Linked DNA regions of Drosophila melanogaster. The protein of the gene in region 3 interacts with the protein of the main gene of each other region in a biochemical or structural test. Each region holds a gene or a part of one and is shown on either strand. Other genes may lie near its edges.

Region 1 (4,879 bases), on a different chromosome or scaffold from region 3:
TTAGCCCGTTTTTTCAGACGCGATGCGATGTGAAAATGCGGACAACGCCGACCGAAAAGTGTGACTGCAGGGCGAGCGGCGAAATACCATACCATATTGCGGTCGTTGTAGCAGGGTTGCCAGACTGACGTTTTTTAGCTATATCTTTTATATAAATATATCTATTAGTATTAGTTAGTAATTTAACAAATAAATTAAATGCAGCACATTAAAATCAAATTGACTCTCATAGTCAGTGAGAAAGGCCAGTACCTGTTGAATATTTTGAACTATCTTTTAGCACTTCACTTCTAGCTTCCCTCCCGCCATCTTAGCACCTCTGCGAACGCGTCAGTGGCAGTGGCAGCTGCGGCACCAGTGTTGGTTGTCAAGAGCGGTCAAGCAATCAGCTGTGTTGTGCGATCCAATTCGGGCATTAGTAGTTACGACAACAATAAATCGCAATTGAGAAGGATGAGCGAGGCCGGCACCAGCGCGGATGCAGTGGCCGCCGAGAAGGAGCGCAAGTTCCGCATCCAGGGTAGGTGGTTCTCCAAACACATACAGACACACGCATATATATCAGCCAGCAACTGACTGAAGTACAACTCCATTTCATCCTCCTTTCTAGCCGCCGCCTTTCTGGGTTTGGTGGGCGGGGTGTCCGCTCTGTTCGGCTTCTCGCGCACGCTGGCCACCGCCAAGAAGACGGATAGCAAGGTCCTCCAGCAGGCTGGAACGCGGCAAGGCATGATCCTGATGGACGAGGGCGCCACCCTGGCCCTGCGGGCGCTGGGCTGGGGCACACTGTACGCCGTGATGGGCACCGGCGCCTTCTGCTACGGCTTCTGGAAGCTATCCGGAGCCAAGGATGTGAGCATGCCTCCGATTTGTTCAATGAATTTCGCTTTAAATCTTTCGTTTCGTTCGCAGTTCCAGGAGTTCCGCCTCAAGATGGGCAATGCACTGCCAAGAATCACCAAGGACGAACCACCAGCCAGCCGCACCGATTTCGAGAGTCTCACGGACCTCATGAAATACCTGGCAGCCTGGAACAAGGAATAAGCAGCTCACAAATATACACACAATTTAAAGTAGACCTAACGCCTGAGTAGACCAGAACATAAAACGAAACCTTTGTTAACTTCAGTTTACATACAGACAATGTTTTCAAGACGTTTGATCGGTTTTCATTTCTTTCGGTCAGACTTAAAGGCAGCCATCATCAGAAGTGCAACTTAGGGAGTTACATATTAGGGTAGAAATAAATACAGTATAATTCGCTTAGCTGCATCGATAGTTAGCTGCATCGGCAAGATATCTGCATTATTTTTCCATTTTTTTGTGTGAATAGAAAATAGAAAATAGAAAAAAAAAAATTAAGTTAGCTGCATTTTTAAGTTACCTGCATCGAGGCATTGTGCAAAGTACTCGAGGCAGCTAAGCGAATTATACTGTATAAGCCAAAAGCAAACCGTCTTACAATCTCTGAGTCTTAATTTAATTTATCAATATCTACAATTCACATATGTATATTTATGCATAGCTTAGGGTCACCGTTGGTTGGCCATATTCTGGTGTATAGCGTTGTTGATCATGGTGTTCCGCATGAATAGGTAGTGATCGTCCATATTGCACTGCAGCTCCATCATGTCCTCGTGCTCCGCCTGAAATCGGATGGCCGCGTTTGTGAAAGCCAACGAGCTTCGCACGAAGTTTTGCAAATTGGGTCCCTGATCTAGGTAACGCTGCTGCTCCTTGTTTGGCTTGAAGCTAACCTTGCGATTGTCCGTGTCCAGTGCCGCATGCATTACAAAGTCGAAGAACTTTTGCTGCTCCTTCTGGGCGCGCTCCTTGTACTGCTGCACCTCGTCCTCCTGACAGCTAGGATCCCAGACTGAAAGTCTGTACGTTAAGTAAATGGCAATTTAATTAACCACAAGGATTGCACTTACTATCGTCCAGGTCAATGTTAAACAAAGTGCTTGCTTCATAGCGACGCGGTTTCAAAGTGGCCTCCAGTTGGGCCGGCACGTCCTTGAGATCGATGTCGGAGAGATCACCGCTCGATAGATCGACGGCACTCGTGTTGCCCACGTATTCCAGTACGTCACTGCGGCGTACGAATTTCATTAATTTTTCTGGACTTTCGGCTGGCTCCATCGCGTCGCTTCGTTTGTTTTCAGTTTTTAAATCCGTAAACGCTTGCCAACACCCATCGCTGATCCAGTGATGCCACATCTTTTGAACGTAATTCGCTCTGGCTCTTTTCAAGCCAAAACCTTTTATACAAATTAAAATATACGATATAAAAAATTGCACTTTTAATATTAATAAAAAGATATATACTCATTGAAAAAAAGCTGAACTAAAAAAGGGGAAAAGGGTTATAGGGCATAAGTCATTTTATGAATGCTAAGCAGGCCTTGCGTTTAGAATCACATTTCAATTTATTGTATTTGTTCAAGTAGTCAAACCAAATGAACAAAATCGAGAACCGAATACACAGCTATATATATACTTTCTCAAAATCCAAAATTTTAAGATTATCCAAAATTTCCAAATAATGATTTATGCGATCGTGATACACATACTGTCCCTTCTGGTGGGCTGTTTCTATCCAGCATTCGCGTCCTACAAGATCCTGAAAAGTCAGAATTGTAGCGTCAATGATCTTCGCGGATGGTTAATCTACTGGATTGCCTATGGAGTTTATGTGGCCTTTGATTATTTCACAGCGGGTCTGCTGGCATTTATTCCATTGCTAAGTGAGTTCAAGGTGCTTCTCCTGTTCTGGATGTTGCCCTCTGTGGGCGGCGGCAGTGAGGTGATCTACGAGGAGTTCCTGCGATCCTTTAGCTGTAACGAATCCTTCGACCAGGTCCTGGGACGTATCACCTTGGAATGGGGCGAATTGGTGTGGCAACAAGTTTGCTCCGTTCTTAGCCATTTGATGGTTTTGGCAGATCGCTATCTCCTGCCCAGCGGTCATCGTCCTGCCCTCCAAATAACGCCCAGCATCGAGGATCTGGTCAACGATGCCATAGCCAAAAGGCAGTTGGAAGAGAAGCGGAAACAGATGGGTAACTTATCTGATACCATCAACGAGGTTTTGGGAGAAAATATCGATTTAAATATGGATCTGCTGCACGGATCCGAATCTGATTTATTGGTTATTAAGGAGCCTATTTCCAAGCCCAAGGAGAGACCAATACCGCCGCCGAAGCCAATGCGTCAGCCATCATCAAGCAACCAGCAAGAAATGAATCTTTCGTCGCAGTTTATGTGACATCAATTGATATCCTCAATATGTCAGGCGGAAGTTGTCAAAGTTCAGAGCTTTCAAAAAGCATACATCTCAGAAATAAACTAACCTTACCGCAATAAAGTTTATACAAAAAAAGCATTTAAATTGATTAATTTTAGTCACAAAATATTGAACCAATGTGTTGGTTATCTTCTTAGCTATTTTTTCTAGCCTATTTTCTTGTGTTTGCACAATCAGTCGCGGAGGTCTCTTTTCGCGGTCCGGTAACGCTCACATAACAAAACTCAGCAACGAATCAAAAACAGCTGCATTTAACGCGATTCGACTCGGGATTTGTGTCCTTCCTTTTATGAGATGATATGCCGACTCTGCCTGGAGGATGCTGAGCACGGGGTGCCCATTTTCGGCCAGGAACCGCCAATGGGACAACCGGCACATCGCCAGCTGGCCGAGCTGATCGAGCGACATCTGCTGCTGGTGGTGAGTGGATTTGGACTTTTCTACCCCAAAAAGATGTTTTTTTCTAATGATTGAATTGTTCGCTTTCAGTTGGCGGAAAACGACGTGGTGTCCACGTGCCTGTGCAACCGCTGCTGGCGGCAGCTGGCCGAGATCGAGCAATTCTGTTCCATGGTAGCGGAGAAGCAGCGGTCGCTGCACCGCTCCTTGCAGCTGAAAACTGAATTGCCGGAGCTGCCCGAACTGACGGAGCCGGAGCCCGCCCTGGTCGTGTGGAACACGGAGTCGCCAATCGAGCCAAAGCTCAGCTATGAGGGCGATGACATCAAGGATCACATACTGTGCGAACCCGTCATCGACGCCTTGTCCGCGGGCGATGAAAAAGACAGTGACTATGGCGACACCTTTGAACCGGACTTCGAGCCGGAATCGCAGCCAGATGAAGAAGAAGAACCGGAGCCGGATCCGGTAAAACCGCGCCCCAGGGGCAGGCCGCGCAAAACTGCGCTGCAGCAAACGCATCAAATCATCAAAAGGAAGTACGAGAAGCGCAAACAGCAGAACAAGGCCAAGATCACAGAGTTATCATTACGGGAATCAAGAGCCCGGCAAAGGGAACTTAAACGCAGCAGTGCTGGAGCAGAGGATGATCAGGATGGCGACGAAGACGAGGAGGACGAAGAAGATGTCGGGGGCGAGCTAACACCAGATGCCGACGAACAGCCAAAGCCGCGCGGCAAACGTGGCCGACCCAAGACCAAGAAACTGGTAACCGCCGACGATAATGATGATACCTCGGAGGTGCCCGTCAAGCGCAGCAGCATCAAGGAAATGGACGACTATATAGCCGCCAATGTTAAGCTCGACTGCGCCATTTGCGCCGCCCCGCTGGAAGACTTCAACGATCTCAAGCGCCACTTTCGCGTGGAGCACGACTGCACTGGCTATGTGAAGTGCTGCAACAATCGGTACAAGAAGCGGACACTGTACGTCGACCATTTGCACTGCCACAAGGATCCGCAGTACTTTAGCTGCCAGAGCTGCCGCAAGAACTTCCTTAACCGCAACAGCCAGGTGATGCACATGCTGCGCTTCCACTCGCAGCAGCAAGAGCTGGTCCACCAGTGTGCCATCTGCGAGGCGCGCTTTGCCAAGAAATTCCTGCTGACCATG
Region 2 (7,964 bases), on a different chromosome or scaffold from region 3:
TTTGTTTAGTCGTTTGTTGTCTTGGCTGTTAAAGGCAACTTGCAGGGGCAGGCAAGTTAATGACTAATGTGTTAGGGCTTTCGAGGGATATATGCCTTATACAATTTAGCATTAATATATGGCAGGAAGCGTAAGAACGAGTGAGTGAATCATGACAGGGCCGCGCTGCCAAACTTCATTAAGTCGCCGCAAGTTCGTTGCCTCAGTCATTCGTTTTTTTACCAAAAAAAAAGCTCCAGCACGCCCCCGACAAAACCGAAGATCGTTTTATTCGACCATCACTCCAAATGGCCACAAATTGTGTGTGTATGTGCACTTCACGACCAAAAACGAGGTCACTTTGTCGGTTTTTCAACAAAATCGAAAAGAAAAAATAAATACTTATTGTGTTTCATTACGCGAATGACATCATGGCAGCGCTATGGGAGCTTCTCAAGCTTTTTAGCCTTGCACTCCCCGATCTTAACTCTGATATTTATATTTAAATTTTTGCGTATAGTATATAGATAGAAAAAGTGCTTACCTTTGGCCTGGGCTAATCCGCAGAATAGGGCCGCCAGCCACAGAGAGCGCCACATTTGCATTGAGAGCAGCATTTTCCAAAATTTCCGGATCTAATTGGTCGGGGTAGAAACGGAAAGACAAACGGCATATTATTACAAGCATTTCGAACGAACCGAAGCCGAAGCAACGGCACATGCTCCACAAGCGGGCCAACATTTTATTTGTTATTTGTATTCTTGGCCTGGCCTTTTTGACGTTTTCACAGACACAATTCATATATGTAGGTACCATAACATATATATGTACCGCATCGCAAACACACACAGCGAGTTATTATGAAACAAAGCCAGAAGAGAATGCCCGTCAAGTGGCTTGCGGCGACCGCTCAACAAATCAAAAACCAATGACAACGGCAAATAAAAAACGAAACGAGCCGCGAACCACACACATATCACACAAATTCACACAAAACTCGGAGCGGGTCTTACTTGACGGCTGCAATATGGGGAAAACTCGGAACTCGAGACTCGAAACCACACCGAAGAGCACACCACACGTCCAAGCTGTTCGCTAGTCGCCAGGCAACTGAGGCTCAGCTCGGCTGCAACTTCATTACCTCGGGAATCGAGAGCCGGCGTATAGAGATGCTGACTCAGTTTCAGAGCAGAAGTCGTTCTTATATGGCAGAGAGTGCAAAACTATAGTGAAAGCACTCAATGTTAACCAATTGGTTAATTACCCAAAAGAAATGTAATAAGTACGTATGTATATAAGAAGATAAGTGTGCCGTTTTATCCGAATTATTGCAACATAAATCTATATGCATTTTTATTATATTATGCTTTCATTGGTAAAAAAAAAAATCCTTAGAAAATATTTTAAGAATTTTGAATAAGATAGTGTTGAATAATTATTTAACAAACGGAGTTTTCAAAAGTTAGCTATAAACTAGCTAGTGAACCAACGCTCTTAGGCATTAGAGCGTGGACAGTGGGGAAAAATGCTAAGGCGCCATCTAGCCCCTGGCTGTTCACAGTGCATAAATAAAGCCGGCAATTACGAAAGTGCTACATTACAATTTATGGATATACTTGAATACATTTAGATAAGCAGAGCACAATTAAAATGACCCACTGTAAGTCGCTCTCTCGCACGGAGCATCTCTGTCGCACGGCGAAAAAGAGAGCGACTTTAGCAAGTTAGCTTAACCGAGAGGCTGTAAAATACGGTAAAAGGATCGCTCTCACTACCGCTCTTTTCCGCTCTCTGCCGGAGATAACAATCAGCCGGTAAGTTTGTATAATTTTTTTTTTTGTCCCATGACAAAAACTGAGAAATTGTGGGAGCAAAATCTTACAAGCAATTATGCAATCTCGTCTCCGGCTTTTTTGTTGCGTTTGCTGTTGTTGTTTTTGTTGCACTCGCTATTGTTGTCAAAACAAACATTTATGTAATTGCGCTCGCTGTCAGCACGAACTGCCGGTTCGTTCTCAACGGCCACAGATGAGAACAGGGAAGTAATAGTTTAAAATGAGCTAAATGCAGCAGCTGTTATGGATATTTTCCCTATATATTTCGCTATATGTACTAACGGTACACTTACACTTCCGCCAAAACTAAAACCGTTCTTCAGCTGGTCATCTACTGCATTTTCCAGAGCCCAAGGCGCAGCCCGTGAACCCAATTTCACACCTCTTGATTTCGCGCGTGCTTGGGCATTATTCATGATTCTCCTACTTGTTAGTTTTCCAAACCAATGGCCATCCCATCATTAAACGGATTAGAAACATTTATTTGTGCATACTTACTGGCCATACACTACTGGCCCTCTTGAAAAACGGTAAATGACGTGCAAAATAAAGGCAACCAGCCGAGCGCACTAATTTAATTTGCTAAATTCAACTCAAAATGCCTTATTATTACTTTGTTGCACCAGTTGTACGGGAATATTTAGCTCAAGCATCGGCCAATATTAAGTTAAGCACAAATTGTAATAATTAAACACTTGCCACTTGCAAAAGAAATTAACCAAGTTCCCCGTTCCTCTTTGCACACAATTTGCCGATCTGGCAAGTCTGTGACGAAGCGAAAGAGGAATGGGGAAGAACCGCAACAGCTGTCATCTCGCTCACACCTAACGGATTGCGGATTTCCGAGAAAAGCGCAACTGGATTTTTATAATTTTACGATTTCACAGATTTAAATGTTGAAACATTGGACATTTAAAGGCCGGGAAGTGTGCAATATAGCTAAGATATAAATACACTGACACACGACCCGCCCTGCAAATGTTTATGTTTTCGCAAACACTTTTTTTTCACTTTTCGATGTTAATTCTTGATATTTTCAGGCCGGTGAATGTGCAATATATTCGACAAATGAAATATTAACCCATATACCGTCCGAAAAATGATCTAGAAATTTCGATTTTTCACCGTCTTGCCGCCTATTGCAAGGAGTTTAAAAACACAACAAAACTAATTACTTTGCTCATAAAATGATTCGTTTTAAAGTAATCAGGCCGTCTCAAGTGCAATACTAGTTAAAAAATGCAGAATTGCCCTTGTGACGAACCAAATCGCTTCAAACTTAATTCACATTTCTAATAATTTAAAAATGCTAATTGTTAGTATAAGGCAGTTGCTAACATTTTCGGGCTGTGAAAAGTGCAATACTCAATGTTAAAAAAACAGTACTGCCCCCATCCGCAGCAGAAAATTGTTGGCTAGAACGATGTCGGGTAATACGTTTCAAACGACCACTCGCGACGACTCTCGGAATTTGAATGCCGGGGGCAAAGAACGCAAAGAAGATCCCGAAAAGGAAAAATCACAAAACGGGACACAATGGAATGCAGAGGTTTAGAGCGGGATGACAGTATGAACTTCGAACTCTCAAAACATCCAAAGTTTTTGCTCTACTCTACAACTTTCGGGAGAGAGAATATTCAAAATGGCGGCAACGCGAGGAAATCGAAGGAATTCGCGAGATACACATTTTTTTTTAACACTTAAATATGTATGTACATATTTTAATGAATCGTTAGCTTAGCTCGTGAACTTTTATAATAGCAAACAGAATACCATATTTTTTTGCCCTTCGATTTACTATTTTGAGTTGATGAGTGATGAAATATCACATTTTTGTGTTTTTTTTTTCAATCTGTGCACTTTGGTGTAAGTTTTCTGAAAATAAGTAAGACGGGAATGCCAGTTTTGTAAAAAACACAAAAATAAGCATAACAGCCTTTACTATTTTAAGGAGATTATGGCAAATGTGAAAAAAATATCACATTTTGAATTTGTACACTTCGGTGTTAGTTTTCTAAAAATAGGTAAAAGACGGTTATGCCAATTTTGTAAAACAAACAAAAACAAGCATAAATATCACATTTTGTCTTTTCTAAAAATAATTAAAATTGGGTTTTCTAATTTTTTAAAACACTCAAATATAAGCATAACAGACTTTTTCCTATTTTGAGATTATGGCAAATTTGCTTAAATATCACATATTTGTCTTTTTTTTTTTGATTCCGTACACTTAGGTGTTAGTTTTCTAAAAATATATTAAGTATGTTACACAGATTTTGTAAAACACCTAAAATATGCAAAACGGACCTAAATAATTTTAGAAAAAACCAAGTTGAGTGGCGATTTCTAATGCAAAACCAAAACTTTCCAAACTACAACTTTAATAGGACGTTAAAATATGTATTAATAGGTGTAGTTGGGAAAAGCCTGAAACTGCAGTGATAGTTTTGATATCCTACGCAGGTAACTTTCTCGAAGTACTTAGTACCAGAAACGTGTACTTTACATAAACATAAAAAATAACACTTTGCTGATACCAGGCACTTGGGAAAATCATGTCTAGATTTGTCAACATTTTAAATGGCTTACCAAGAGATGTAAGCTCCTTCTCCGTCGACGGTCAAATCGAAAAGAACGGACTGCTGAATTCCATTGAACTCGAAATCTTTGTGACAGTGCTAGAAGATGACCTTTGAAATCAAGTGGGAATGGGCCGCACTCAAACTCACATATGCAATAAGTGTGTTTCTTTGTGTGTGCGAAAGCGCTCAATTTCAATAATACACACATCACATAACCTCACTTTAAAGAGTCAATGTCCTTATTGCCTTAAAATATAACTGAAAATCTGTATAATGAGTGCAGTCTCACAAGGGAAATTAAAACGAATCTTTTAAAAAACATCTTTAAATGTATATTATTAGTTACTTTTTGAGGAAGATCTAGCAAAAATTCGGTTCTTTTTTACACTAATACCATTCCTTTGATTTATACTACGCAATCAAGTATGTATGTATGGGAGTGTGTAAGCACACAGCGATTCTAAGAAATCACTCAAAAAACACATGCATACATACATAAGTTTACACATGTTTAGCTAAAAACTTCGTACTATTTATCGTATTCTTTATAGAGATAACTTGAAATGTATGTATATACATTCAATTTTAAAAGATTTTTTGTCGCCAATACAAACAATTGCTCGTTAATATTATGAGCTTATTGCAATGATACGAATTTAAATAAATTGTGAATGTCAATGACAAATGCATGTGTACATACATATGTATGTACATTAATGAATATGCAGATTAGTTTGTATGAATTTCCATTTTAAGACCCCCCACTCAAATCATTAAGCTCATAGCGTAGTATTTTATTTATTTATTGCATTTAAGTTTGTCAGAAGTCGTTCAATGCTTCGCCTAGTTTAATAAGTTCTGTCTTAACTTTCTCGTACTGCGACAATTGCTGCTCCATTTGGACAGTCAATTTCAGGCGCTTGTCATGGACATGTTGGAGTCGCTCGCGATTGGCATTGCTCTTGGCCATAGCAATCTGTAATTGAAATATAAACAAATGTTAGTTATACTGATAGAATAACAAACCTAGATATGTACATATGTATATGCAAATGATAAACTATAGAAATGAAATTATTAAACTAAAAATCTTCTCGAAGGTTCTTTAACTTTAGGGATCTTTTGGTACACTCAAAACAGTGCAGTAATAGTACAAAGATTAACTAATATCCAAATCGCACCTCAAGTTCTTTTGCCTGAGAGGCCAGTTGCTGCTCCATGAATTCCACGCTGAAGTCCAAAAATCGCATGCGCAGCGGCCGAGTGAGTTTATCGGGTGCTGCAGTGTTCACGTTCCTATAGATTACAATAGAGTAGAGTAGAGTTAGCAATGCAATCGAATCGTATTATGTTTTATGCTGCACATGTACCATTTCTTGCCCTCGTAGGCAGCGAAATGTTCCTTGAGCATTTCCAAAGTTTGCAACTTATTTGGCACATCGTTGCTGGCGAAAAAGCATCGGTTCATTTCGAGCACAACCTTGGTCATCAGACTGCGAGTGCGATCTACGATGCTTTCGGTGTCCAGAGCGGATTGCTCGTGCTCCTGGTAAATGGCATCCCACGCTTGCAGATCTGCGCAGCTAGATATTAACGATTTTTAATATTCGTTATCATGTTAACTATGCCTGCTGCTTACCTCAAGTCGGCAAAGATTTGTTTAATGGCTTCCTCGTAGGCCTGTTTCACCTTTGGTCCCACACCCTCGTGGCGTTTAAATGCGGCTTCCGAATCCTCCATTGAAATAATTTGTTAGTAAATTCAAATTGTAAACAAAACAAAACAATGCCACATTGGTGTGACCAGTTGCAAGTTTCTGCAAAACACCAGGCCGATAGAAATTATAGAGTATGGTGACAACCCTGTTATTGGTTTTTTTTTGAGGTATTTCCACTAGCTCTTATTACTCATAAGTCCCTTGTAACATAAGTGATGTTGAAAATATAAATATATTTCATTCAGCGGTATGGTGAGAATATGTGCCTTTTACATTACAATGTCAAACAAAATGAATAAATACCACCGAACAGTATTTTTAAGAATAAGTGTTAAACCACCGTTTTCAACCATCATATATCGATAGTCCAGGTATCGATGACAGGGTGATACGCCATTTTCCAATTCCTCTCTAACTTTTGTGCATTTTAACTCAGCTCTAGTGTGTTTGTGCTATACATATTTTGAATAATATTTTACCAGCCAGTGTTTAGTGGCGGACAAAATCGTGTTGAATACCAATTGAAAGTTAAGTGATTAAGTTCGGTGGCATCAAAGTCTTCGTAGCTGAAGGAAAACAAAGGCATCCCGATAGGTGAGTTTTTCTTCTACAGTTTTTTTTTATCTTTTGCCTGGGGAAACGCGAATGAAAAGCGAATTTGCGAGGCAAATAAACCAGGCTAAAAGCAATGTGTGTGTGTGTTGTGTGGTCTTGTGTTTTCCTGAATACATTTCTAAGAAAAAGATTCGCCAATACATGCCGATTTTTTATAGCAATATAGTGTGATTTTTAACTACACCCCCAAAATCGTTCTTTTGGCTTCGGCGCTTGAGTTTTACAGTTTTTCTTCCTTTCATTTTATTACAACCACCAGGGCACACAGAAATATTCCTAGCTCTCTCTCGCTCTGCCGCCCTGTTCTCTCTGCCTCTCTCGCTTGCTCGCACGCATGCCGGCTTTTACTTAAAGTACAGAGTCGCATAGTTGTTGTTTTTATAATTGGCCCATCGCTTTAGTCGCTTGTTTTGTTTTTCACATTTGCTGTTTTTTCTTTTCTTTTCGTTTCGTTGCTTCCCTTTTTCTTTTATCTCCACGCGGTTACACCGGTGCATAAATTTCATTATAATTCGCTGAGATAAAATCAAAACAAAATAGTTTCGTTGTTCCGAAAGCAAAACTCCCACGCTACAAGACGAGTTCAACGCTCGTTGGCTTTTTACAAATAAGGAAAAGGCCTAACCTATATTTTATTCATAGTTTTTAGCATCAATCGATGAGGTACGTAGAAAACGGAGAGGCAGAGGAAATGGCGAAGAGAGGCTAATGAGAGAGAAAAATACAAATGGAAGCTAACTGTTGTTGTTTCGCTTGTTGGTTGGGTGCAGCTTATTACCACCTACTTGCCTCCCCCCTCTCTTCATTGCTCCTCTTCTTTTCTCTTTGCCCCCCTCCCCCTCATTAACCCATTGGCATTTGCAGCTTTTTAACAACAGCTCTCTTCTTCTTCCGTCTGCAAATCTTCTCAGCAATTCTGCAACTTTTGCTTTTCGTTCTTTGGCGATTGTGACGAATCTCCTTTGTCTCTGTTTAGATTTCCAGTTTTGCGAAAAAATTCGCTTTTATTTGCCTTTTTTGGCCGAGGTATTTTTCGTTTGTTTCTAGCGTTTATTTCGAGTGAAGCAATTCCAAAGATATTTCGCGGCTATTTGCACGCGTTCGTTGACATTGAACTGAATTCTCACGTAAATGTGTTGAGTTCCAAATTGGTCAGCAAACAAATTGTAAATAGTATTGCTTAAAAATTTAAATATATATTATATTAACAAATCAATAGGCATGACTTGTTGAAAA
Region 3 (8,099 bases):
CCTTTCGTCTGCTGCTGCTTCTTCTTCCTTCTGTCCCTTGTGCGAATTTCCCACAACTTATGGTTCTCGTTTTTTTTTCCGGCGAATGTCGCGTGCTGTTCGTTTGAGCGCTCGGAGAAATCTGACTTCACGCGGCGGCGGAGCGACAGTAACTACTACCAATGCGGCTAAAAATCCATGCACACGAACTCTTAGTTTACGAACACGAAAAACAACAACAACAAGGCTGGCCAATAGTAATTCAGTGTGACCGCGGGGCGAGCCGCCCGTTACACCACACGCCAGCAGGGTCATACTGTGAATCTAAAATATAAAACTTTCGTTTCTAAACAAATTAATAGTTCATAAACATATGAACTACCATATTCTTTGTTTCATTGAGACTTAATTTTAAGTTTAAAATATTTTGCTTGCTCATTTTCATGTTTGAAAATTGGTTCGACGAACATGTTTGATGCAACACAGTTGTTAAGTGTGACCAAATACTCATTTGATCAAATTAAATTGAATTTGAAATTGGTTTCCTTCAGCAATCAATCAATTTAATCTAATAAGACTATTATTCAAAGCCATATCTCCTTATGACTTACAATACGATTTATAAAAGAGAAGGCCAATCTATCCTAGAAAATCAAGCTCCCATAAATAATCTCAGTTAAATCAAGCTTAGAAAGGACAACTGCCTTTATTTCACGACAAAAAGAAATTGGAAAGGAAAATCTCAGCACTTGCGGACATCGGGAACGATTCCGCACTCGGCATAGGGATCCACGCCCTTGGTATCCTTTTTGGCGCACGGCGGGCACTCCACGCAGCAGAGATCGTCCTTGGGAGTGGCCTTCAGCAGGCCATCGATGTTCTCGCCCTTGGTCGTCTTTAGATTGGTGCCCGAGTTCACCCGCGACGGCACGTCACTCATCCTGGTTTTGGACGATGTCTTTGGTAGCGAATACTTGGTGACATCCGGCGGATTGGGCCTGCCCCAGAAGTCACGCGGCACATCCCATATGATCAGCGATCCGTCCGTGCTGCCGGTGACAAACATGGTCATGCAGGGACTGTACGCACAACTGATCACGGAGGAGGCGTGCTCCGATCCGATGCCCACCACAGCACCACTGTTGTAGTCCCACAGCTTCACCTGCAGATCGCTGCCCACGGTGATGAAGTAGTCACCCGTTTCGTTGATGGCCAAGCAGTTGACCGACGATTTCTTGGACGCAGTTAGTTCCCTGATCAACGCTCCATTGTACACCATCCAGTAGATGATTCTGCCGTCCGAGCCGCAGGTGATCACTTGCACTCCAGTTGGGAAGTAGGATGCGGACATGAACTGCGTATTAGCGGTCACCACTTGTTTGCGGGTCATGCGTCTGGTGGGGATTACTTGGTGAATGAGGAATACATGCTATACTTTGCCACTGAGATTAACTCACTTAATGTCCCAGATTACACAAGAGCCATCGGTGCAGGCGGAGATCACTTCGGTGTCGAGATAGTTGATATCCAGCGAGGTTATGGGCCCCGAGTGATCCTTCAGCACGCCGACGAGATCCTGGCGATACGGATCGATCTTCCACACCCTCACCTGTCCCTCGATGCCGCCAGTGACGATCAAGCGACCCGACGAGGCCACGGCCAATGCACTGCAACCTGTGTTGAACGAGAGGATTTCAGTAAGAAGGCTTAGAAGGATTGGTATTCCCAAAGTTCACCTTTGTTGTGCGCGTTGGGTATGGCGTAGATGAGTCTACCGGTGATGGGAGTGAAGGCGCGAATGATGCCATCGTTCCAAACGGAGACTATGCTAGTGCCATCGTGGGTAAAGCGCACGCAGGCGCAGTTGAAGTTGTAAACCATGATGCGGAGCAGCTCCTGCTTGCGACCAGACGACCAGATGCGGATGCACTCCTTGCCCGACGTGGCAAAGACACCAGAGTAGTTCCTTAAATACATATATATGATCAATTGTAGCAAATAGATTGCAAGTAGAAGGGTTAGTTCCATCCAAACTCACTTGGGAAACGTGATGCAGTAGACCGATTTGGTGTGGCACGTTCGCAGCAGCTTGAGCACCCAAGTCTTGATATTCAGCCCATAGATCTCGTTGGTGTCCGTGCAGATGTAAAACATGTCCGTTTTCGAGCGCACAAAGGACGAGATTCTGCCCGAAACGTGCGTCTTTTTCAGGGTGCGCAAATATGGCCATGTGGGTCCGGGATAATCGCGAAAGTTAATGAGCGGCACATCGGTACGCTCCTCCACCAGCTCTATATCACCATTTCCCGCTCCAATCAGCAGACGTCCGCCTTCCAGGACATACAGTGCACGCACACCATTCACATAACGATTGCAGTCCCTGCCCGTTGGCTTCCTGGGATTGTGGGTGCCGAAGGCTCCGAGGATGCAGCTGGTTGAGCCTTGTTTGCTCACATGATCACGATCGCAGCAGTTGAGCACGATCTTTACAATGTCCCCAGTTCCGGTGCCCAGATAGGCAAACTCATCCGTCTTATTGATGCGCGCACAGTAGAAAACCCGTGTCTTGCTGGCCATTAGGACATCCTGTACGTACAGCTTCTTCTCCTCACGCAGGATGCTCCACAGACGCAGATGGCGATCGCCGGCGGTCACAAAGAAGTAGGGATTGTTGTGCAACGGCCGGACAGTCAAGGCATTTCCAGAGATGGCCCTCGATGCGGGTGTTTGGCAAATGGGAGAGCTGTAATGGCAAACGAAGTCATTGAAGGAGTTCAAGCATGAGCTCTGATATGAACAACTTACAATGCCTCCATGTCGAAGACAATTACGGAACCATCATCCACGCCACCGATGGACACAACGCATCTATCCTGGGCAGTAAAGCAGATGGCCTGCACAGATACCTTGTGCAGATCGTGGCGAGCGATCTCCTTGCGCTGATCGTAATTCCAGATGATCACATAGCCGCGGAAGCCCATGTGATTGATCTGACCGGAGGCCATGTATTTGCCACTCTTGCTGAGATCCAGGCACGATATGGTGTTCGTGTGTCCGGCCACAAACTCCTGCGTATTCTTCTTGTAGTCGGCGATGCCGATTTTGTTGCCCAGCGCAAAGATGATGGATCCCGTGACCGGATGCTGGCGCACTCCATTCTCCACCTTGCCATTGATGCCGAAGATTGCGCGCGGCAGCAGCTGCCTGCAGACATCGTGCGAGTCTCCCATTTTTCCAGGCTTATAGCAAAATATACGATTCGAAATGTAACATATAAGGGGGTTTTTGTGTCTGTTCTGTGCTTGAAACTTTTTAACCGGCTTGTTTTCTGTTTGAAAACAAGGCAGTTGGAAAATTTAAACAGCGACCGTTGCTTGGTTGCCGCTGTTGTCAAAGGAACTAATATAATGCTAAGGTAAATTGGTTTAAAACTAGTAAGTAATCATCTAGGTGTTTCGGATTCATAATAATTTTAATTTAATTTAATTTTAAGTTTAAAACTAAGTTAACGACATAATAATAGGTAAAGTGGAATATAGAAGAGTCTTAGTGATTATAAATGACTCCAGGGTTAAAACTAGTTTCGAAAGAAGATATTGGAAATGTAGATTAAAAAACTTGATCCAGTTAGTTTATTTAATCAGTCTCCTTCTTTATCTGCAGGGGCACTTGATTCCAGAATTGCTTCAGCTTGGTGATGTTGAGGGAGGAGCAGCTTCGCTGCACGCGATCCTGCATTTCGATCTCCTTCTGGATGAGATCCTCCATGGCGGCGTACTTCTCCTCCTCGATCTTCAAATGCGCCAGCATGGCCATGTTCTGAAATTGATGTGATTTAGCATTATTAAAACATAAAATAAAGCATCCTTTTCCCCATTATAATGATTAAAATGAGGCATACAAGATAGTTTCCATTGGTTCTACAAGTTACCTCTCTGTATTTGGCCTTCAGCTCCTCCAACCTGGCTGTCTTCTGCTCCTCCTCTTCGCTGGTATACTGATTCTCGACGAACATGTGCTCCGGATGCAGCACATGCGGTGGAACGTGGAACACTTTGCTGTCCAGTTCCCTGAGGGCTTTTAGGCCCTTGGAGGCGGATGCCTGGAAACGACGCTCAACGGTCTCCTTCTCGGCTTCCAGCAATTCCGCTGTGGCGGGTGTCTTGATCTTGTCGATGATCTGACCAATACCCTTCTTAATTATGTCCTGCACAATATGTTCGCCTATTTAAAAGGAATTAATGGATAAAGGACGCTGATCCAGAGATATAAGGATGTAGCACTCACGCTCTGCAGACAACTGTGCCGCTGTGAAATTGAAGAACTTCTGATCGTAGGCTAGGCTATTGAAGTCCATTATGACAGTTAACAACAATATTTTTTTTAAATTATATTACAATTAAACTGGATAAAAACGTAAACAATCCAAATTGTCGCGCAATTAGTGTTACCGTTTTCAGAATACAAAGAGATGCTACCACAGCAACAGTGCTGCCATACTTAGCTACAAAATCTAGTTACTAAATTTGGCTACTTATAACTGACTATACAGATGAAAAATATAAAAACAACGCATACACATGCACAATTTCCTAAAATTTTTGACAAATACATTTATTAAGCTTTCGCATTAACGGCACAGTGAAACTCCACAATAATATTTACCTAATATATGGAATAATTCAAATAAACTATATGTTGTTTATTAAAGCTACCTAAAGCATTTGAAATTCAGGAAACTTCCATTAAATTAGTTCAGTGAGAATTTAAAATTACACGCAGATGGAAATTATCAAAGCATGCAAGAATGTATACTTTTCTTAATTACTTGACAAAAATTTTGCAAAACACGTTCACATTTACGGTGCTATTAAGCTCATCGATAATATCTAGCTAGGAAATAATATAAATAAATAAAAAGCTAAATTAAGTTTTGTAAAGTTACCAGAACACTTACAGCATACAGAAATCTTTCTCTGCTTAAAATTAAATTAATTCAATTAATGATTGAAATCAATAACTATGAATGCCCCTACTGTTTTAGTTTTGCTTTGCCGGCTTTGCGAATATAGATAATACAGCGAGAACTGAATAATCAGGAGAGTGCGACACACATAACGGTGCCTATATAAATAGAACACACCACTCTCCTTCAGTCGCTATTTACAGTTAGGCACTGTGCGAGGTTCCAACTAATTAAATACTTCAATTACTGGCAAATTCTACTTGACCCGAACAAACAAAGGAAGCAAATATGCTTTTCATTGGGGGCGTTTTGAGGCCCTTGGGAGTGGGTCTTCTGCTCCTGGGACTGCTTGCGCCCATTTCCGGAATGGGATTTCGACGCGGAAGGCTGACCAAGGGATTCCTCGGGGAGCCCAGCAAGATTCCAACCCTGCAAAGGAGCCTGCACTCGGAGGATCTGTGGTTCGAGCAGCGATTGGATCACTTCAAGTCGAGCGATAAGCGCACCTGGCAGCAGCGATACTTTGTGAATGCCGACTTCTATCGGAATGACAGCTCCGCACCCGTATTCCTGATGATCGGTGGCGAGGGCGAGGCGTCGGCCAAGTGGATGCGCGAAGGAGCCTGGGTGCACTATGCCGAGCACTTTGGAGCGCTGTGTCTGCAGTTGGAGCATCGTTTCTATGGCAAGAGCCATCCCACCGCTGATCTGTCCACCGAAAATCTGCACTATCTCAGCTCGGAGCAGGCTCTGGAGGACTTGGCCAGCTTTGTAACCGCCATGAAGGTTAAGTTCAATCTGGGCGATGGCCAGAAATGGATCGCTTTCGGTGGCTCCTATCCGGGATCGCTGGCCGCCTGGGCACGCGAGAAGTATCCCGAGCTCATCTACGGTTCAATTAGCTCCAGTGGTCCTCTGCTGGCTGAGGTTGACTTCAAGGAGTATTTCGAGGTGGTCAAAGCCTCTCTAGCTGCCTACAAGCCCGAATGCGTGGACGCCGTGACCCGCAGCTTTGCGCAAGTGGAGATTCTACTCAAGCACATGATTGGACAACGCAGCCTGGACGAGAAGTTCAAGTGAGTGGATTAGGCTATCGTCCTGCACAAATTTTAATTTTGTAAACCATTTTATACTCAGAACATGCACTCCCATCAAGGACTCCATTGAAAACGACCTGGACATGGCCAATTTCTTTGAGAATCTGGCTGGCAACTTTGCTGGAGTGGTGCAATACAACAAGGACAACAGTCCCCATGCCACCATCACCATTGACGACGTGTGTTTCATCCTCACTTTGATCCCTATCAAGTCCATACTAAGAATGTTTGAACTCCATAGATCTGCGATGTCATGCTAAACACCACGGCTGGTCCACCTGTGACCCGTTTGGGCCTGGTCAACGATATGCTATTGAAGGAATCGAACACCACCTGCCTGGACTACAAGTACGACAAGATGGTGGCGGACATGAAGAACGTTTCCTGGGACTCGGAGACGGCCAAGGGAATGCGCCAGTGGACATATCAGACCTGCCACGAATTCGGCTTCTATCAGACCTCGGATAACCCGGCTGACACATTTGGTGATCGCTTCGGTGTCGACTTCTTTATACGCCAGTGCATGGATGTGTTCTCCAAGAATATGAACGCCAAGTTCCTCAAACTGGTGGTGTCCGCCACAAATGATAACTATGGCGCCCTAAAGCCAAAGACCACAAATGTGTTGTACGTGCACGGTTCCATTGATCCCTGGCATGCTTTGGGCTTGGTCAAGTCCACGAACGCAGCACTTCCTACCATTTACATAGAAGGTATGTGCTTACCAACACATTTTTCACATATAACTTGGGTAATGTAAGCATTTATTGTGTTTTTTTTTTTAGGAACCGCTCACTGCGCCAATATGTATGAGCCGGTGAAAACCGATCCGCCACAACTGGTGGCCGCTCGCAACAAGATACTCAAATTCTTGGCCAAACTACTGGATGGCTACACCTCGGCGTTAATCTGATGGAAAAGTGGCCAAGTCAAGTGTAATTTTGTACTCGTCAGCGAGTTGTTTTATTTTTTGCTTTCGCATGAGTTTTATAATATATTTTTCGGCTCCGCTGGGAGTTAATCCTTCTTGGCCTGCTCCATTTTTTCGTGGAATCGCTTCCAGTAGTGCTGCACCTTGGCATTTTGAACGATATTGTGCTCGACAAAGTTGAGCAACCAGGTGGCGGTTAGGTAGGTCAAGTCATAGAAGAAGGCAACCACGCGAAAGAAATACTTTTCGGTCTGCTCCTTGCTAGGCAAGTTGGCCATGACATCCTGCAACTGCTTGGCGGCCGCCTCCTTGGCCTCCGATGCCTTCTTCTGCGCCTCGGTCATCTTGTCCTCGTTCGAAGTGCCCTTGCTGCGCACGATGGTGCTGGCCTCCAGTGGCTCAGCTCTGCCCAGTTTACCGCCTGCGTTCACTACGGAAATAGTTGGCGCCTGCACCTCGCCAATGGGCACATCCTTACGCGTGGTGTTCTCTGGGTTATTGCCCAAGGTGGATGGAAACCCTGGAGCCGCAAATCCAGGCGGCACGTTCTTGGGCTTCTCATCGCCGCCACCTTCGGCGGAGAACTTGCGGTCGAGATTCAGGAACAGAGCACGCGGGCGCACAGTATTGCCATTGAGGCGATTCAATGTGGAGTAGTCTTTATGGTGGGAAAAGGCGTTAAAGTTTGCTAAGAAAAAAACACGTGCCTGCTTCACTTACTCCACGCTGTGACCAGTGGTCCCGCCACCGACTTACTCCATTTGGTCATTACCATGGCGCGAATCATTTTCCAAGTTTAAGCAGATTAAAAATTCTTCACTGAAGCAATTGACAATTTCAACAAACGAATTAATCCAAAATGCCTGACAAAAAGCAGAATGCGGCAAGGCCAACTTGACAATCATCAGCCAGAGTTGCAACTCTTTCCGAAGAAAATCCCATTTTTTTTGGGAAAGAACGCTAAGTTCAAAAAAGCTAAACCTAAAACAAAATTACTGTTTCTAATATATTTATGAAAATAGGCACAAGCTATAGCTCTAAATTGGAATATACACTAAACTAACTGAGCAATGATCAACATAATTTAAGGATCCTAATATTTATTTTACTAAGTTGTCAGCTCTGT
Region 4 (7,807 bases), on a different chromosome or scaffold from region 3:
AAGCAGCAGGACCATTTGAGCCAGCGATGCTGGCGACTGCTCCGAGCATGCAACTACAACGCCACTGCTAATCACAATGCCTGCCGGCCGGAGTACTTCAACCTGGCCGAGGTACTGGTCAGCCAGCTAATGGCACCTTACGAAACTATCAAAGCTCCACACGTCGACCCAGATCCGGGACAAACCACCTCCATCAAAATGGAGTTTGAAGAAGAACTAAAGGTTGAGCCAGACCAGTGCCATAATCCGGAAACCCAGGAAAATCCGGAGGTCATGGGAGTAGAGAAACAGGAGCAAGAACCCCAGATGTTTCCGGGTGAGAGCACCATGGAACACACAATCTACAAGCTGCAATCGGAGGAGGAGGAATTGAATCCTCAGCCGGAGGCGGAACACCTATCCAGCTACTTTGCCTGTCCAGTCGGCAATGGCCTGGTGGACGAGCTGTGTGAAACTATAGGACAGCTGGCATCTCAAAGTGGTTACCTACATGCAGAGTGCCTGTTTTTGATCAAGAGACGCCTAGCGAGATTCTTCGAAGGTCGCCACGTCAGCAGTGAGAGAGGTAAATCATCCTTACAATTTGTTAGCCTGGATCCTTATCTTTGGATTTCTTAATTAAGACTTTAGGTATATCAGTAGAGCAGTGCGCGGTCTCATTGCCCTGGGAGAATATGCCTTTCGTGAGTTTATTCCCTACATCTACAAACTGCGCGTCGAGGAAATCCCGGATAGCCTGTGGCCGGATCTGGCTCCGGCTGCCATCTTCCTTGGCGGTCATGATGACGTATACCTGTATGAATGGCTGGAGTACGGATGCGGTGCTGCTCTGCAGCCCTTCTTGGTCCACTATGCGCGTAAGAAACACCCATGTGTTCCATGAAAAGCGGTTAAGTAACTAAAAATCATTGCAGGAGCCTACGAAAAGATGGTAACCAGACGGTATGTGAAGGCCAAACAACCCGCTTACAGAATAGAATCAGTGCCGGGAGTGCGTCGGTTGGAATGGAGTACTCTTGCGGCAGCCATGTGCCACGGAGACGATCCTAGCAAGGCACTCAAACCGAAGCCTACGCTCTGCGAGGCTTTCCCCGACCTTCAGTCACCAAATCTTCAGCTCAACTGCGCGGGCAACATCCGCTTTAAGTTTGCAGGATGCCGCCCGGTGCTGCTGAAGCCGAAGGTTGCGACTGTTCCCCACTCCGAAGACTCGCCTTCGTCGGCAGCGAACGGTGGTGGGGGTGGCGGTGCCAGCTCCGACATCCTGATCGCCAAACGAAAACTCTTTAAGCCCCTGACCAACGTGAGAAAGTGGTCGCCCATCAGTGGCTATCACTACCTAAGGATCTGAAAGGGACTTGGGAAAGTATTATAAGACCTTCTGGAGGTCCAGGAGGACCTGGGGATCTCAATAAAACTCTTCGTTTACTTTAGACTTCCTCTTCGGTCTTCCGAAAGGTGATACAACTTTACTCGTAATACATAAAAACACAGAACTAAAAGGCTTCTTCCTGAGGCGTATGTCCATTTAGTGAGCCCAAAGCGGGCACGGGCATTCCTGCAGCTTTCATCTCCGCCACAATCCGCTTGTTGATAATGTTTCGGATGTTGGCATTCACATCCGGCAGAAGTCCACCTGTTCGAGCTGCGTGCTCAATTCGCTGGACGACGTCGATTTCGCGGCGCGATGATATCAGGTTCGTGACTAGCGCCTTGTCCATGTTGCCCACCCGACCGATCCTGCCACAACGATGGATATAATCGGAGACGTGGAGCGGAAAGTCAAAGTTGACCACATGTCGAGCTCGTGTGGTATCCAGGCCACGACTTCCCACATCGGTGGTGGAAAGGACGTCGCAGTGACCGTTTTGGAACTGCTCGAAGCGGCCAAGACGGATCTTCATCAGCATATCCCCATTCAGATTTAAGCAGTTCACTCCGCTGTTGTTCAGGAAGATGGAAACGAAGTCACTGGTGGTGGACTTGTTGCTGAACACGATAAGAGGGCGACGTTTGGCAAGATCATGCTTCACGAGTGACAGAAGTGTGGCGGGCCGATCGGCCTTCGACAGCCGCAGGAACTTCTGCGTCACATGAGACATCAGTCGGTGCAGGTGCGGACTGACGACCTCACGGATGGTGTCCACGTCTATGACTTTGTGAAGGATCTCTCTGGTGTTCGTGGGCATGGTGGCCGAGGCCAGGATCATCTGGGTGCCAGCATCCTCCTTTTGCACCAAGTGGAACTGTCGAATAAGAAAAAACAAGCTGATTGAAGCCATTCCTTTGGTAATCGCCTAGAATGACTTACGGGAAATCTCCTGAGGAAGTAGGAAAGTTTGTCTGTGAACGTATCATCTAGGAGGGTGTCCGCTTCGTCTAGAACCAGATGACGAACCTGCTCCATGCGGTAGATGCCAGTGGTCACCAGTTTGCTAAGTGCACCCAGAGTGGCGACCAGTATGTCCACCTCCTCGAACTGTGGGTTCATCATAAGCTGCTTGGTATTGCCGCCAAGTAAAGATTGCACTTTGAGATTGGTGCCCTGGGTGAGCTTCTCCGTGACCCCAGCAATCTGCGTGGCTAGTTCTCTGCCGGGAGTGAGGATCAAGACACGGGGGGTGTTGAGTTTTCGTTCGGTGACCACTTCTTTCTGGAGGAGTTTGTCTACGATAGGCAGGAGATATGTAATTGTTTTTCCACACCCAGTTTCAGCGGCAATGAGGCAGTGCTCATTTCCATGGACAACGGGCATTCCCTGTTTTTGGATTCCCGTCAGTAATTTGATGCCCAGCTCGACTCGCAAGTTCTCAAGGAGTTGCGGATGAATCTGCATCCCCGTGCTCTCGAGGAACTCATCGACGGTCTGCATTTCCTGCTGGAGTTCCTCACCTCGCACGCTGGCGTTCAGGATGAAGAAGTCTCCCTTGGATTTGTTGTGCAGCCAGCCCTTGGAGGCCAGCGAAAGACTCCCAAACTTGGCATCCGTCTGCTCGTATTGGGTTAAATCGAACTGGCTTCTTCTGCAGGAGATTAGGGGCTCCCCCTTCTGCTTTTTGCCCTTGGACTTTGCCTTTGGTGGCTTCGTCTTAACTGCCGCCGCCGCCGCTGTGGCATATGAAGCCACATGGCGCGATGATTGCACCCGGAGCACCACGGACAAGTTCAGCATGCTTTCGGAATATTATTCAATGTTTTTCATTTGCCGGCAAGTCAGCTGTGCACACGCATCGAAGTGTTGGAAAGCGCCGCTCGAATTCAATGCCACTTGTGGCGGTAAGTTTGAAATTCATATTTATTTCAAGACCCAGCAACTAATATAATAATAATAATAATAATAATAATAATAATAATAATCTGTTTTTTTTTATAAAATTACATTTCTTCCTGCACATACGAATCATTTATTAGCCGTTCCATTTCCATTAACTGTGGCTTAATGGCCTGGTACTCGGCCAACTGCTGCTTCATCATACATCCCACTTTCACCCGTTCAGCGTGGACATCATGTATAAGCTGTCGATTTTTAATGCTTTTGGCCATAGCAATCTAAAATCGAAGTAATCCAAGTATTACTTAATTCTTCGGAGGTTGAAATACATACCTCGAGTTCCTTTTCCTGTTTCTTAAGCTGTTGCTCCATGAATGTGATGCTTAGATTCAAGTTGTGCATGCGCAGAGGGCGAGTAAGTTCCTCAGGGGACAGACAGTTGAAGTTCCTGCGGATTTACGTTAAAAACCATGGAAAGTGCTGCTGGACAACCAAATTCAAAACCATTCACTAACCAGTTCTTGCCCTCGTGGGCGGCAAACTGCTCCTTAAGCATTTCCAGCGTGGTCAGCTTGGTCTCCACGTCGTTGCCGGAGAAGAAGCACTGGTTCACATCCAGGACGATCTTGGTCATAAGCCGACGGGTGCTGTGGATTATTTGCTCGGTGTCCAGGCTCGTGGATTCGTGCTCCTCGAGGATGGAGGCACACGACTCAAGATCTGAGGAGCTAAGCAATAGTAAGCGTTTGGTCAATCTTTTAATCAGCCATTCTCCTACTTTAAATCCGAGAAGATCTGTCCAATGGCTTCCTCGTAGGCCTGCTTCACCTGTGGAATGACAGCCTGGAGCCGTTTGAAGGCTGCTTCGGTGTCCTCTTCAATATTATTCATACTTTTAACACAATTCTGGCAAAATAATAATTACAAGCAAAACTTGGCGACCGAAAACATATGTGACCATTTACAGATAGGTTGTGAATACCAACCCCTATATGACATGATTGTAGGTATAGGGTATTCGAGCTGCTTTCAATTATGATAACATATATATTGTATAAATTATTTTAAACAACGGTTATTGGCTAATTGGTTAAATTCAAGCATCAAATCTGGTAAGTTGGCATTACTTCGAAAACACTCAATATAACATTGAACTCATTTTTTACGCCACATTCAGAGTGTATTTCTCGAACTGAATTACACAACTTTTCACATGTCGCATCGGCGAAGGAACTTGCAACTAACACTCAATAACTGCACTTTTCAGTTTCCCCGAAAGTTGTGCTTTCACTGCAGTTTGCCACATCGGGAAAACTTGCCACAATGGAATTTCCTTTTATCTCCGCTCTTTCGAGAGGGTTTTTAATTTGTGCAACGTTTTGGGCAAATTGTTGAGGCGGGGACGCAGTTTTTAATATGTTTTGAGTAATTTGTGCGCATTTGCGAATTTTTATCGCAGTCACAAAAGTTTGTCCTTTGTGCTCCTTATCGTGTGCTCCTCGTTGGCGCGGTTGTAATGATGACTTTATGACTTTATTTACGTGCAATAAAGGAAGCATTCTGCGGCAAACTCAGGTTTAAGCATCACCGAGCCACTACTTTCGAATATAAATGCGATCCAGGTTAATTTATTCGCTCGCCGGGTCCGGCATTTCCATTATTTTCCGGGTCCGAAAAGGAACTCAGCTGTGGAGTAGGCAGAATTCGAAATGTGCTCTCCCCTGCACAGGAAAAATCATTTCGACATCAATCTTATAACGACCCATAAATGCCACAAAAATGAAAAGGTGGAAAGTTCGAAATTGTTACCCGGAAAACATTGTTACCCATGGGACATACATGTTTTTCAAAACTTGGTGCATACTTTCAGGCACCATTAAGTGAGATTTGAAAAACCCACTAGCATCTTCTCCGTTTCGATACACATTTTCTCTTTGTGTGGCCCGGATCTCAGATATGCTAAATCCCGGCCAGAATCCTGAGCTGTCCCCTCCAGGAACAGAAGCAGAATCAGGAGGCGTGCCAGTCGGTGGCCGTGTTAACATGCATGTGCCACTCTGCCGCATGTCTTGCTAAAACTCGGCTCCGAATTTGCATTTCAATGATTAAAGTGTTAAAATGCCGGCCGACACATGCGGACTGTTCAGGAACCACCGCCCAGGATCCACCCGCCTTCGTCCTTCGGATAGTTGGTAATGGCTTTATAAAGCGAACACCTCAAGCAAGATGCGATTTTAATATTCTTATTCTCGTGCACATGGTGTGAAAAACTTGGAGATGTTGACTTTTTGTGGTGCGACTGGTATGCAAATGAGCCTAAATTCTGAGACAAAGTTTTGCATACTTTTCTGAATTCTGAATTCTGAATTATACCAATCCAAATAACTATGCATTTCTCACACTGTTTGCGCTTGTCCTGCTCAAAAGAGAGAATATGCTTTCCCCGAAAGTCTTCTCTTTAATTAGTGAAAATGTTAAGTTCTGAAAAAATACTTCTTCTTAATAAACTCATATCACTTACCTAGAAACCCTTTGAGAAAGTTATTCCTCTGAGTTTCCATATAACATAAAGCAATCAGTTCTTGAGCAAAGTTCAGCTGTATCTCGAGGAAAGAAGAAACTTTTGGATATTCAATTCCGAGCGTTCGTGTCTGATCCTTTGACGTCAGATTGCTAAAAAGTTATTCGAGTTTTATTTTACTAATCAGAAAGTCTCGTGTCGTCCTGTCAAGGGTTTCTCCTGCTACAAATTGGATAAATCACTTGGCTCTAATTGATGCTCCATTTTGCCAGTGGGCGAAATTCTGGTCAAATTCCAATCAAGTCAACGCCATCTGCACTGAAAGAAACACTTATCCTTTTAGGCTTCTAAACGTACATTGTTGTTTTCTTAGTTTAAGAACATCAGTGTGTTATAACCATTTGCTGATAGTGTTATCATCACCTTGATTATGCGCTATTTAAATATCGATGAGAAGCGGATATGTTGGCTTGGCTCTGATCTGTTCGTCCTGTGTGCAACAGTGGGTCCTGGCTGGCAGCGGCAGCCGTCGCTTGGCGACACTTGCGGGCGTGACAGGAATGGAGAACCACTGGGAAAATACCAGTGGTGGGAGGGGGTGTGGGGCTGGGGGAGCGGTGCGTCAGCCGCAGTGCGTGAAATGCATTTAAAATTTTCGCTGCATACTTGTCGCCTCGAATTACAGCGCATTTGTCGAGTGGTGCTTTGTGCTTTGTTCGTGAATTTGGGAGCTGCATTCGCATGCAAATCCACAGTGGAGGTCGCCTACGTGTGCTTGACACACATATGTAGATCAATTGTGCAGAATTTGCCTGAGTTAAGCGACTTTTAATAGTTTCTGAACTAACAAGCTGTCGCGCAAATCGATGGTTAGGAGCCGACCACTATTCATGTGACCGCAACTGTGGGCACTCATGCGTGCTGGAAATGCGCTTTAAGCACGCATTAGAACAATGCATGAAACCACAGCTGCCGCCATATACAAGGCTGTGTATATGTATCTGCACATATCTGGATATGGCAGCCGTAGTCCTACCGATTTTGCGGATTAACACTAATGAAACGCAAGTACAATGGTCGAAAGTAGCGTCAGACAATTGGTATGCAAACCGAGTTCCAGCTACACATGTAAGTCCTTCATATCGTTGGAGACGCCTCATCTTCCATGGAATGCGATTCGCAAACCTTTTGTTTGCCTAAGCTCTCGGTGGGAGAGGGGGGGGGGTTGATTTCCTTTTCGGGAATGGGCCGAACAAAAAACAAACACCGGAGCAACAACCGGCTGGTGGGGTTAGTTTACCGAAGCGGCTTTTACGGGCTTAACATATTAATTAAACTTGAAGTGGAAACACGAAACCCGGCTGGGTCAACTTTAAATTAAGTTTTAATCTGTTGCTCATATTTAAACAGCCAGCAGATTGCTGAGTGTGTGGTTGCACTGCGAAAAAAAATCGAAGGTTTGCCACATAAAGTTGCAGCAATTACTTCTTAGCCAAACTTTCAATTCAAACAAATGGCTTTCAACTCTATCTGCAGATGTGTTTATGAACAGTATTATCTGCTTATTTATTATTATTGGCGAGTTGATGGGAGTGCAAGTAGTTCTCCGTGTAGCTTTCCAAGGACACTTGAATTTTGCGTGTGGGTGCTGCGTGCTTTCTTGTAAGCTCCGATGTTCTGGCTCCGCATCTCTAATTGAAATTGGTCATTTGGCACACGACTTCCAGCGACCGACGACATGGAGGTCTCAGGTCTCAGGACTCAGGACTCGGGACTGACGGATGACAGGCGACAAGTGAGTGGCAAGCAACGACATCTGGCTCTCAACTCACCCTGCCTGCACTGAGAGAAAAATGGGTAGCTTGTTGCGTGGCATACTGCACTTATGATCAATAGCAAGATCTATCTTCATAGGCCAGCTGGGTATTGGAACTTGTTCAATCAATAAGATACAATACGTATCCATTTAAGGTGCGGATATTTGCTTGCTGTGTTTATACTCTTCTCGCTGAAAA

What was found.
Region 1: the proteins of Mis12 (region 3) and Kmn1 form a complex in vitro, tested with the Drosophila melanogaster proteins (2 studies listed by BioGRID).
Region 2: the proteins of Mis12 (region 3) and Nnf1a form a complex in vitro, tested with the Drosophila melanogaster proteins (2 studies listed by BioGRID).
Region 4: the proteins of Mis12 (region 3) and Nnf1b form a complex in vitro, tested with the Drosophila melanogaster proteins (one study listed by BioGRID).

The regions. Positions count from the first base shown.
Region 1 is NC_004354.4:11,570,257-11,575,135, forward strand, and holds Kmn1 (kinetochore Mis12-Ndc80 network component 1), read right to left. Parts: upstream 2,187-4,879; 5' UTR 2,143-2,186; coding exon 1,935-2,142; intron 1,877-1,934; coding exon 1,533-1,876; 3' UTR 1,127-1,532; downstream 1-1,126. Other genes in the region: CG11699 (uncharacterized protein), read left to right, coding at 454-520, 611-852, 913-1,044; Reepl1 (receptor accessory protein like 1), read left to right, coding at 2,546-3,268; CG11696 (uncharacterized protein), read left to right, coding at 3,602-3,727, 3,797-4,879.
Region 2 is NT_033778.4:20,581,038-20,589,001, forward strand, and holds Nnf1a (Nnf1a), read right to left. Parts: upstream 6,202-7,964; 5' UTR 6,137-6,201; coding exon 6,036-6,136; intron 5,980-6,035; coding exon 5,767-5,979; intron 5,693-5,766; coding exon 5,578-5,692; intron 5,373-5,577; coding exon 5,217-5,372; 3' UTR 5,185-5,216; downstream 1-5,184. Other genes in the region: qsm (quasimodo), read right to left, coding at 524-596.
Region 3 is NT_037436.4:6,964,599-6,972,697, forward strand, and holds Mis12 (Mis12), read right to left. Parts: upstream 4,451-8,099; 5' UTR 4,337-4,450; coding exon 4,267-4,336; intron 4,204-4,266; coding exon 3,911-4,203; intron 3,799-3,910; coding exon 3,616-3,798; 3' UTR 3,437-3,615; downstream 1-3,436. Other genes in the region: CG10064 (uncharacterized protein), read right to left, coding at 722-1,373, 1,437-1,653, 1,716-1,945, 2,018-2,722, 2,785-3,209; CG9953 (uncharacterized protein), read left to right, coding at 5,234-6,021, 6,083-6,221, 6,284-6,755, 6,828-6,955; CG10063 (uncharacterized protein), read right to left, coding at 7,060-7,631, 7,694-7,760.
Region 4 is NT_033779.5:807,001-814,807, reverse strand, and holds Nnf1b (Nnf1b), read right to left. Parts: upstream 4,232-7,807; 5' UTR 4,163-4,231; coding exon 4,050-4,162; intron 4,000-4,049; coding exon 3,787-3,999; intron 3,720-3,786; coding exon 3,605-3,719; intron 3,550-3,604; coding exon 3,376-3,549; 3' UTR 3,277-3,375; downstream 1-3,276. Other genes in the region: Saf6 (SAGA factor-like TAF6), read left to right, coding at 1-565, 624-857, 915-1,351; Dbp21E2 (DEAD box protein 21E2), read right to left, coding at 1,497-2,246, 2,312-3,172.